Linked DNA regions of Oryctolagus cuniculus. The protein of the gene in region 1 binds, or shares a complex with, the protein of each later gene. Links are inferred from orthologs where the notes say so. Each region holds a gene or a part of one and is shown on either strand. Other genes may lie near its edges.

Region 1 (4,441 bases):
TTTCTATTTCATCAGAAATTAATAACTCTGTTCCTTGTAATCTCAACAACAAAGCTCCTCATTCACGTGGGGCTCCTATTCTGGCTCTGGGATGTCTTTTATCTCAGCGATTACTGTTTTGTGTTCACCAGACTTTCCTGGTTTTCCATCTTCTGTGCACTTCCTGCACGTGCCAAAGCTGAGTGGATGCTTACAAGTAACTTGATCAATGAGCTCTGAGCAAAAGTGATACATGTTACTTACTGTGGGGCTAGAGCCTATAATTACCGACTTGAAACCTTCCACAGCTCCCCTTCCCCCTACTACAATGCTCATGAAAGTTCTAGAAGTGCTACTCATTAGCCATAGGTCACTAAGTGAGTATAGTCTGGAATAGACACTCCAGATATGATAAATCTGCAGTGTAGAAAATATATTTTTATCCTTTTAAGCCACTGAGATATGCCAATTACTCCTTATAGCCACATTAGCTATCTCATCTGGACCAACAGATGATTCTTGGACATCTTTAGTTTCATCATATAATTTATAAATTAAGTAGAATTAACATTCAGCAAGCATAACTTGAGGATATATAATATCCTGTAAGAGTTTACATGACCCTTAATACACTTAAATGTATGCATTCAAATCTCCTGATCCTTATTAAGTTTCAGTTATACTCCACATTTCTGAAATACATCAAGACTGTTTCTGCCTCAGGGCATTTGAACTTCCTGTTTCTTTTGCTGGGAATATACTTCCTTCATTTTTTTACATCTGAGTTTTCATCATCCAGACCTCAACCCAAAGGTACCTGCTGAGATAAAACTTTGACTATCCTTTGTAAATAATCACATATCAACTATCTGAAATTTTATCAATTCATCAGTTTGGTAGCATATTTTTAGAAATTCCCACTGTAAACAGATAAAACTCACAAGGGCTGAGAAATTTTTTTGTTTGCTCACTGATGTATCCACAAAGCCTAAAACATTGGCACAAAATGAATCCTCGAGAAGTATGTGTTAAACACAACAGAATGAATGATACAGATAAGGAAATGAGACTCTGAGAATTTGAGCAGCTTTCACAAATTTCTTTGTATATGCCTGAATCTGAAACTCACTGGTTTTTGATGCTGCCTACAGAGATTGAAATGTCAGATAGCAGGCAGGGCTGGCTGACATGTTAAGCGTCCTTTCGGCTTTGGAGTCCATTGTTGATGCAATCAGAACCCAAAAGTCGAATTGATCGTGCTTTTATCAGACAGCCTTGAATTTCCAGTGGAACAAGGTAATCTGAGAAAGTCCATTGATCTTCCGTTTTTGCTAAGCGACAAAGATCAATGGAGATTTGTAATCATCTATCCATGACCCTGCAAGTTCAATTCTTCCTTTCGCCCTGTTTGCAAAGTTGTGGGAGTGCCCACACTTGGACAATGTCACCGCCACACTCTGCTGTTTCCCCAGAGGTTGTCAATGCAGAGAAAGGCCTCCCCCTCCTTTCCTGCTCCTTGTGCACAAAGCCAGCACACCCCACTCAGCGTCCTCTCCCTGAGCAGCCTGCCACACACTCATTGGCCTGCGCCTGCCGAGGGGAGGGGCTTCTGTCTCAGGGGCTCTTCCACCGGCATCCGCGGTCTGAGCAGCCCAACCTAGAGGCTGAAGCGCTCACTCTCCCCCAGCCCTCTTCACGGAGCCTCTGCTTTGCCCAGCTCTCTCTTTTTCTGGCTCAGCTTGGGACAGCGCTTCATAGCAGGGGACACTTGGGTCTTAAACTGTGTTGTCAGTGATGGAAAGACTTGAGAATGCTACCTGGAGGCGCCAGCAGGACCTGGAAGATGCACTCAAGAAATACCTGAACAGCACGGAGGACTACCTGGCCTACCTGTGCGGGCCTCGGCGAAGCCACCTCTTCCTCCCCATGTCTGTGGTGTACGCGCTGATTTTTGTGGTGGGGGTGGTGGGCAATGTCCTGGTGTGCCTGGTGATTCTGCGGCACCAGAGCATGAAAACACCCACCAACTACTACCTCTTCAGCCTGGCCGTCTCCGATCTCCTGGTCCTGCTCCTCGGCATGCCCTTGGAAGTCTATGAGATGTGGCGCAACTACCCCTTCCTGTTCGGGCCGCTCGGTTGCTACTTCAAGACGGCACTCTTTGAGACTGTGTGCTTTGCCTCCATCCTCAGCATCACCACGGTCAGCGTGGAGCGCTACGTGGCCATCCTCCACCCACTCCGGGCCAAGCTGGAGAGCACCAGACGGCGGGCTCTCAGAATCGTGGCCGTGGTCTGGGGCTTCTCTGTCCTTTTCTCTCTGCCCAATACCAGCATCCACGGCATCAAGCTCCACTACTTCCCCAATGGCTCCTTGGTCCCCGGCTCTGCCACCTGTGAGATCATCACGCCCATGTGGATCTACAACTTCATCATCCAGGTCACTTCCTTCCTCTTCTACGTCCTCCCCATGACTGTCATCAGTGTGCTCTACTATCTCATGGGGCTCAGAGTGAGTATCCCGGCTGCTGGCTAGAGCCAGCATGCAGCCTGTTCCACTGATCCAAAGAGAATCATTTAGAACCAGGCAATCTTAGAACTAGAAATTTATCATAGAGACAAGCAGGATGAGCTCAGAGGGGGAAACAAAGCTGAAAGCTTTTTCCTCAAATGAGACAAGCAGGAATTACAACCACCTGTCACTTTCCATAGCTCACCTTTGATTCCTCTCCTCTTTGCTTGTGGCTCTCATAGTTAAGTGTTTCTGAGAATCACTTGGAAAACTTGCTAAGGATACTATTATGCACACTCTACACCCTTAGAAAAAAATTGGACTCATCTGGTCTGAGCTGTAGCCTCTTTGAAACAAGCACATCAGGCAAACTGGGGTTAGGTGGCCACACCTTGGGAAGCCCTTCTATACCCTACTGTCCTCCCTTATCTCTGTCAACTGCACCAATTGGTCTCAGGACAGCATAATCTTTCCCCATCTATACAATTGTGAAGTCAGGTCCCTCCTTGTGGTTGCTTTGACCCTTTGGTTAAAATATCAGATTAAAATAAAAACAAAAGAATATGAATTTCCTGAATGACATCAATTTGTTCCCCTGTACAGCAGGTAGAAACTGAGGGATGGGGAGGTGAATGGAGCTCTTGAAAGAGAGTAAAAGAAAATGTCAATAGAGATATTTGGGATTAAAACAAAACTATCACTCAGTTTTCAACTTAAATTGCAGGTTCCTTCCAGTACTCTCCATGATAAACTGATTTCTTTTTATTTTCTATTTTCTGAGTGTCAATTAGCTGAGAAAATATTTTGATAAGGGCAGATGTCTATATAGTTCTTCTCCTAGAATATTCTGTACTCAAATTCATAGAAATGGAAGTCTTGACTATGACAACCCACTTAAGGAGATGGCTCATGTCATAAAGTTACAAGGATGTTTAGACTCCCAAGTCCACGGGTGATATATGAAAAGCCACATAATTCTTCTGCAATGAGTTTTCCCATTTATAAAATGAAAAGGTCATAGCAGATTATCTCTACGTCTCCTTCTGGCTCCAACAATCTGTGATTCCTCAAAAAAGGGAGAAGTACTGTGAGCAGGAGCAACAGGAGTTGTAAATGGAAGAACAGAGCAGACAAACTCACAGCACACACTTCAAGATGGTTCTGGTACCATACATGACGTGACAACTAGCACACTCCCACATCAGTTCACCTCTGAGAAAGGTAATTGTCAGAAGCAGTGCCACAGAAGCAGATATTCTGAATACCTGTTGTCTCTAACAGGAATGGCAAGGTCTAAGGAAAAATAATAGATTCTAAGTGACACAGACACCTGGGCACAAGGATAAATTGAATCAGGCAGACTCGTGCCAGTCTCCTTCTGAAGGGCTTTGTCCCTGTATTCCCAGAAACATATGTCACCCCAGGCTAGTGTGTAGCCATGTCTTTAAAAGCCTCATGATTCTCACTGAGGGGGAAAACTACTTCACAACTCCAAGTATCCTAAATCCTTGGAGAAATCCCCGCCCAGAATTTGTCAATTCTACCCTGTCTAACATCTATGAGTCACTCATCTTTGGTCAGTTAGGGAGTAATTTTCAACTCTGAATAGAAATCACATTCTTCCCCTACAAACCGCAATAACTCCAAGTGTCACTGTATTTTGTTTTCAGGAACCCACAGCTAACTTATATGAGGAGCTAAGCGACAGCCAAGACAATAAGCAGCTTAGAAACCAGTCAAGTTTCCTTTATGTGTGCAATACACCTTACAACACTCTGCTCTAGGAAGACTGAGGTGCTATCCAAGCTACCAGAGGGTATCAGGAAAGGAGCTATGTGCCGAGAAAGTCACTCCTAAAATAACTTAACAATCTATAGACTGGACGTCAGCAGAAACAGGTTGTATCTGTAGGCTTCACTTCAGAGCCTCCACATTTTGCCTGAAATATTTC
Region 2 (4,525 bases), on another chromosome or scaffold:
CCTGCACTGGCGCCCGCGGTCCGAGGCGAGGTCCCGCGGGGGCGCGGCGGCGGCCCGGGACCCTCTTACCTCGGCCGGAGTCCGCGCAGCAGGCGAGCAGTAGCGGCAGCAGCAGCGAGAGCGGGGCCGGCCCGGGGCGCTGGCGCGCGGCTCTCGGCATCTCGGCACCTGCGGGCTGCTGGGGACCCGGGACCCTGCGCGGCGCGCACCCTGCAGCAGGCGCCTCCGCCGCCCAACTTTTAAATCTGGCGCACACGTGGGCGGCGGCGGCGGGCGGTCCCCGCGCGCGTCAGCCCTCGGCCGCCCCCGGCCAGGGCCTGTGACTCAGGGCGCCCCTGATTTTCTGGGATGGGCAAGCCGGGCAGGAAAAGCGTACGCCGCTGTCTCCGCTTTTCAAAGATCCCAGCGCGCGCCTGGGGTGCGGGTTTTCACCCTGGACGTGGGGATGCTCTCGTGGCTCCTGCGTCTGCTGGGGGCGCCCCTTCTTTCTCGCGCCCGCTTAGCCGTGCCGGCCCCATGCGCTCCCGAGTCCAAGCTCCTAGCGTTGCTGGTTCAAGGGCGCCGTCCGCGCTGCTGACCATGCCCCAAGTGCCCACAAAGCCGGAGACCCGTCAGCGAGACGCCTGGTCCGCGGATGCGGGTGACCCCGCACCAGTCTCGCACGGCTCTGGGCGGGCTCCGGCTCTCCGGTAACCCTTACTCTCTGCATCTGTGCTGCCTTCGCCCTCGGGTTTCCGGCGGGACCTGGCCTCGCTGTCCCTGCCCCCAGTCCTTTGCTTCCTAGCTGGACACTCCAGGGCTGCAGCCTCTCCCAGGACCCCCGCTGACACCGTTCCGATGCCCTGCTCCGGGAAGAGGGGCGAGGGCTCTTCTCTGAGCTCCCGGTGACAGGCAGGGAAGGCGGAGGAAAGCGCAGGTCGGACGCGCGTTCCCAGTTCGGGAGGGGTGTTGCTGCGCCAGGCCCGGGGGTGTCCGAGGGAGCGAGCCGCAGGCCCTGCTCCTGCGGGGGACGCTTCGCGCTGAGTGCAGCGTTGAAGGAGTCCCGGCTTCCCCCGCACAGCCCGGGACAGGCAGGAGCCACGGCTGGGGACTGGGAGCCATAGCACTTCCGTAGAGGACCCCAGCTACTAGACGGTAAACTGGAACAGTGCTGTCTCAGAAACACCGCGATCCGGCAGAATACAGTAGCTACGGGATGCTGTGCAGAAGCCCAGGTCACAGGGTCCAGGTTCAAGGGCGGGCGAGCACTAGCTTGACTGCTGGCATTCTGATTTATTCACACAGTGGGGTGGGGAGGTAGCGCCAAGGATGTCAGTGAGGTGAGGATGCAGGCAGGTGGGCCTGCCCTGGCTCCCACTCCCCGTGCGTGTCTCTGGTGTCTGACAGCACCGGCTTGGAGTGGGCAGAAGCCACAACTCAGGGTCTCACGTTTGTTCCGCATGAGCCAGGCGAGGTCTCCTGGAGCTGTGGGCCGGTGTCTGCCTGTATGAACTGCCTGGTGTGCACTCGGAGGAGCTCGCTAAGAGAGGCCGATCCAGTTCAGTTCTGATTGGCTTTCCGAAGAGTCCCACCAAGTCCCCACGGCTGCACATTCGCCAGTCGAGGGTGGGTTTCCCGTGCAGCTGCGAGTTCACTGGCGAGATTGTCCCTCCACGACTGCGCCAGCCACTGCGGTCTCCTCTTCGGGGCGATGTCCCTGTATCTCTCTGGCCTATTTCCCCCCATGGTGTCCTCAGCTTTCTTCCTCACTGATTATAGCAATGCTTTAGGTCTTCGGAAACTGTTGTTGGTTACAAAGACAGCAAATGTTTCCTGCCCACTGCTGGCTTCTCTCTTTAACACGGATTATTGTTATTGTTCTTTTAAAGATTTACTTATTTATTTGAAAGGCAGACAGGGAGAGGGAGAGACAGAGATCTTCCGTTCTCCAAAATGGTCCCAACACCTGGAGCTGGGTCTGGTCTAAGTCAGAAGCATGAAACTCCATCCGGGTTTCCCAGCTAGGTGGCAGGTGCCCAAGCACTTGGGCCTTGCCCTGCTGCTTTCCCAGACACACTAACAGGAAGCTGGATCTGCAGCAGAGCAGCTGGGACTTGGACCAGCACTCCGATATGGGCTGCTGGCGTCACCAGTGGCAGCTTAGCTCACTGCACGACGCCAGCCCCTGGCTTGTTATTTTTAAGGGAATGTTTAAGAAAGGACGTGCACGTCACGCATCCTGTGGCTTAGTCCACGCATTCTCAAAGCAGCTAATCCCAGTCTCGTCCTAATCCCAGGAGCCTTGGTCACCGAATTCCAGGCTGTTCTCATTCGCTGAGAGTGAGCTCCTCCCTCTGTCCCTGCCACCAGCTGCAGCGTGGCACCGACAGTGTCTGAAAGTCTGGTTCTTGGTAAGACCTGGACGAATGGACGTTCCATCAGGTCATGGGCCTGGGATCCCAGTCTGGGCGAGCTCTGTGCAGTGATGTTGGGGAAGCTGTCACAGGAGGCACTGAGGCAGAGAGCAGAGCATCAGGAGACTGGAGAGAGAGCAGAGAGGTCTAACCAGTCAGGATGTCCAGCTGGCAGGAAGGTAACAGATGAAGTCTGTTACCAATAAAGTAATAGACAAAGACTCGGATTCAGGAACTGAGCATAGAGGCAAGATCCGGAAGGTTTGTGGGTTCTGGGCAAGATAGCCGTGTGGTTCTCCAGATACTAGTTGAGCGTCTATCTACTATGCTCCATCCTAGCAGCGTGGGCGGCAAGCGATCACTGAGTCAGGTAAAGTCGTGACTTGGTGGAGTTGGCAGATTTTCAAGAAGAGTCAGATTGGGGGCCAGCACTGTGGCGCAGTGGGTTAAAGCTCTGGCCTGAAAGCGCCGGCATCCCATGTGGGCACCGGTTCTAGTCCCGGCTGCTCCTCTTCTGCTCTCGCTCTCTGCTATGGCCCAGGAAAGCAGTGGAGGATGGCCCAAGTGCTTGGGCCCCTGCACCCACGTTGGGGAACCGGAGGGGGCTCCTGGCTCCTGGCTTTGGATCGGCGCAGTTCTGGCTGTTGCGGCCATCTTGGGGGTGAACCAGGGGATGGAAGACCTCTCTCTCTGTCTCTACCTCTCTCTGTAACTCTGTCTTTCAAATAAATAAATCTTTTTTTTTTAAAAGAAGAGTCAGATAACAAATAAATAAATAAATAAAAATAGCAATTTCAGGTAACAGTAACTACTACAAAGAAAAAACCAGGATAATGAAAGAATAAAAGGTGACTAGGAATTGGGGGAAAAGACTCTTGAGCCAGGATCACCTCTCCGAGGGAGTGATATGGGAGGCCTGAAAGGTAGGGAACCAGGCGCAAGAGTAGAAGTGAAAAAAAGAACCCAGGCAGAGGCTCCCTCCTGTGCAAAGGCCCTGAGGCAGAAGCATGCCTGGGAAGTCCAAGGAGCAGAAGGAAGCCAGTGCAGTTGGCACTCAGTGAGGGGAGAAGTGGCAGGGAGGGCCCTGACCATGGGAAGGTCCAGGAAGCCGTGATAAGCTCACGTCTTTTTCTGATTAGGGGAATCGTTTGGAGGATCTGAAGCAGAAGAGGAGGATGATGGGATTGACATCTGAAAAGGTCCCTGCAGCTTCAGTGGACAGCTGGCTCTGGGGACCCAGCAGAAGCAGGACACCAGGAGAGATGCCACTGCAGAAGTCCCCTGGAGCCCCAGGAAGAAGCAGGGGCACTCGCCACTGCAGGGAGGAAGTGGAAAACATGATCCCGCGGGAAAGATCCAGAATCGCTCGGGCTGCATACTGTCTAATTCCGTCTGTTCCCGATGTCCCGGGTAGGGCATGCCAGAGACGCCGAACACAGCTGAGTGGCTTGCAGGGTTGGGGAGAGTGACTGTGCGTGGGTGGGTCTCCTCTGGGAGATGTTGAAATGCACGGTAATCAGGCAGTAGCGATGTTGCACAGACTTGTTCATAAACCAGTCACCACTGAATGCTGCACTCTGAAAGGACAGATTTTATGGTATGTGAATTGTAGCACGACTTTAAAAGAAAAAGAAAGCAATCCAGGCCAGCTGTGACGGAGACGTGTTGGATGGGTTGGTGGCAGCCTTGGCAACTCAGCACAGGAAAATGCATCAGTCTTTGGCCAAACATCGCCATATACTCCCTGGATTTTTTTTTTTTTTTTAACAGGTAGCGTTATAGACAGTGAGAGAGAAAGACAGAGAGAAAGGTCTTCCTTCCATTGGTTCACCCCCCATATGGCCACCACGGCTGGCACTGCACCGATCTGAAGCCAGGAGCCAGGTGTTTCTTCTTGGTCTCCCATCTGGGTGCAGGGGCCCAAGCACCTGGGCCATCTCCAATGCCCTCCCAGGCCACAGCAGAGAGCTGGACTAGAAGAGGAGCAACCGGGACTAGAACCCGGCACCCACATGGGATGCCGGCCCCGCAGGTGGAGGATTAACCAAGTGAGCCATGGCACCGGCCCCTCCCTGGATGTTCTTGGTAGCCATGCCGCCCTCCTCTCTCACCCCGTGAAGGCGTCCTCCTGG

Evidence for each region.
Region 2: the proteins of NMUR2 (region 1) and NMU are in contact, whole or in part, in a cryo-EM structure (PDB 7XK8), measured with the Homo sapiens proteins. The link is inferred for Oryctolagus cuniculus from reciprocal best matches to the Homo sapiens genes NMUR2 and NMU. Residues at the interface, in NP_064552.3 of Homo sapiens: Ser42, His43, Gly98, Glu102, Glu105, Met106, Trp107, Arg108, Asn109, Tyr110, Pro111, Thr123, Phe126, Glu127, Asn181, His185, Pro199, Ser201, Thr203, Cys204, Val206, Tyr213, Phe284, Arg288, Phe291, Glu295, Trp297, Ser298, Glu299, Ala302; in NP_006672.1 of Homo sapiens: Glu146, Phe152, Ala153, Ser154, Gln155, Gly158, Tyr159, Phe160, Leu161, Phe162, Arg163, Pro164, Arg165, Asn166.

Annotation. Positions count from the first base shown.
Region 1 is NC_091437.1:39,388,066-39,392,506, reverse strand, and holds the start of NMUR2 (neuromedin-U receptor 2), read left to right. Parts: upstream 1-1,486; 5' UTR 1,487-1,773; coding exon 1,774-2,490; intron 2,491-4,441. UniProt on the Homo sapiens protein: Receptor for the neuromedin-U and neuromedin-S neuropeptides.
Region 2 is NC_091439.1:108,851,839-108,856,363, reverse strand, and holds the start of NMU (neuromedin-U-25), read right to left. Parts: upstream 2,904-4,525; 5' UTR 161-2,903; coding exon 70-160; intron 1-69.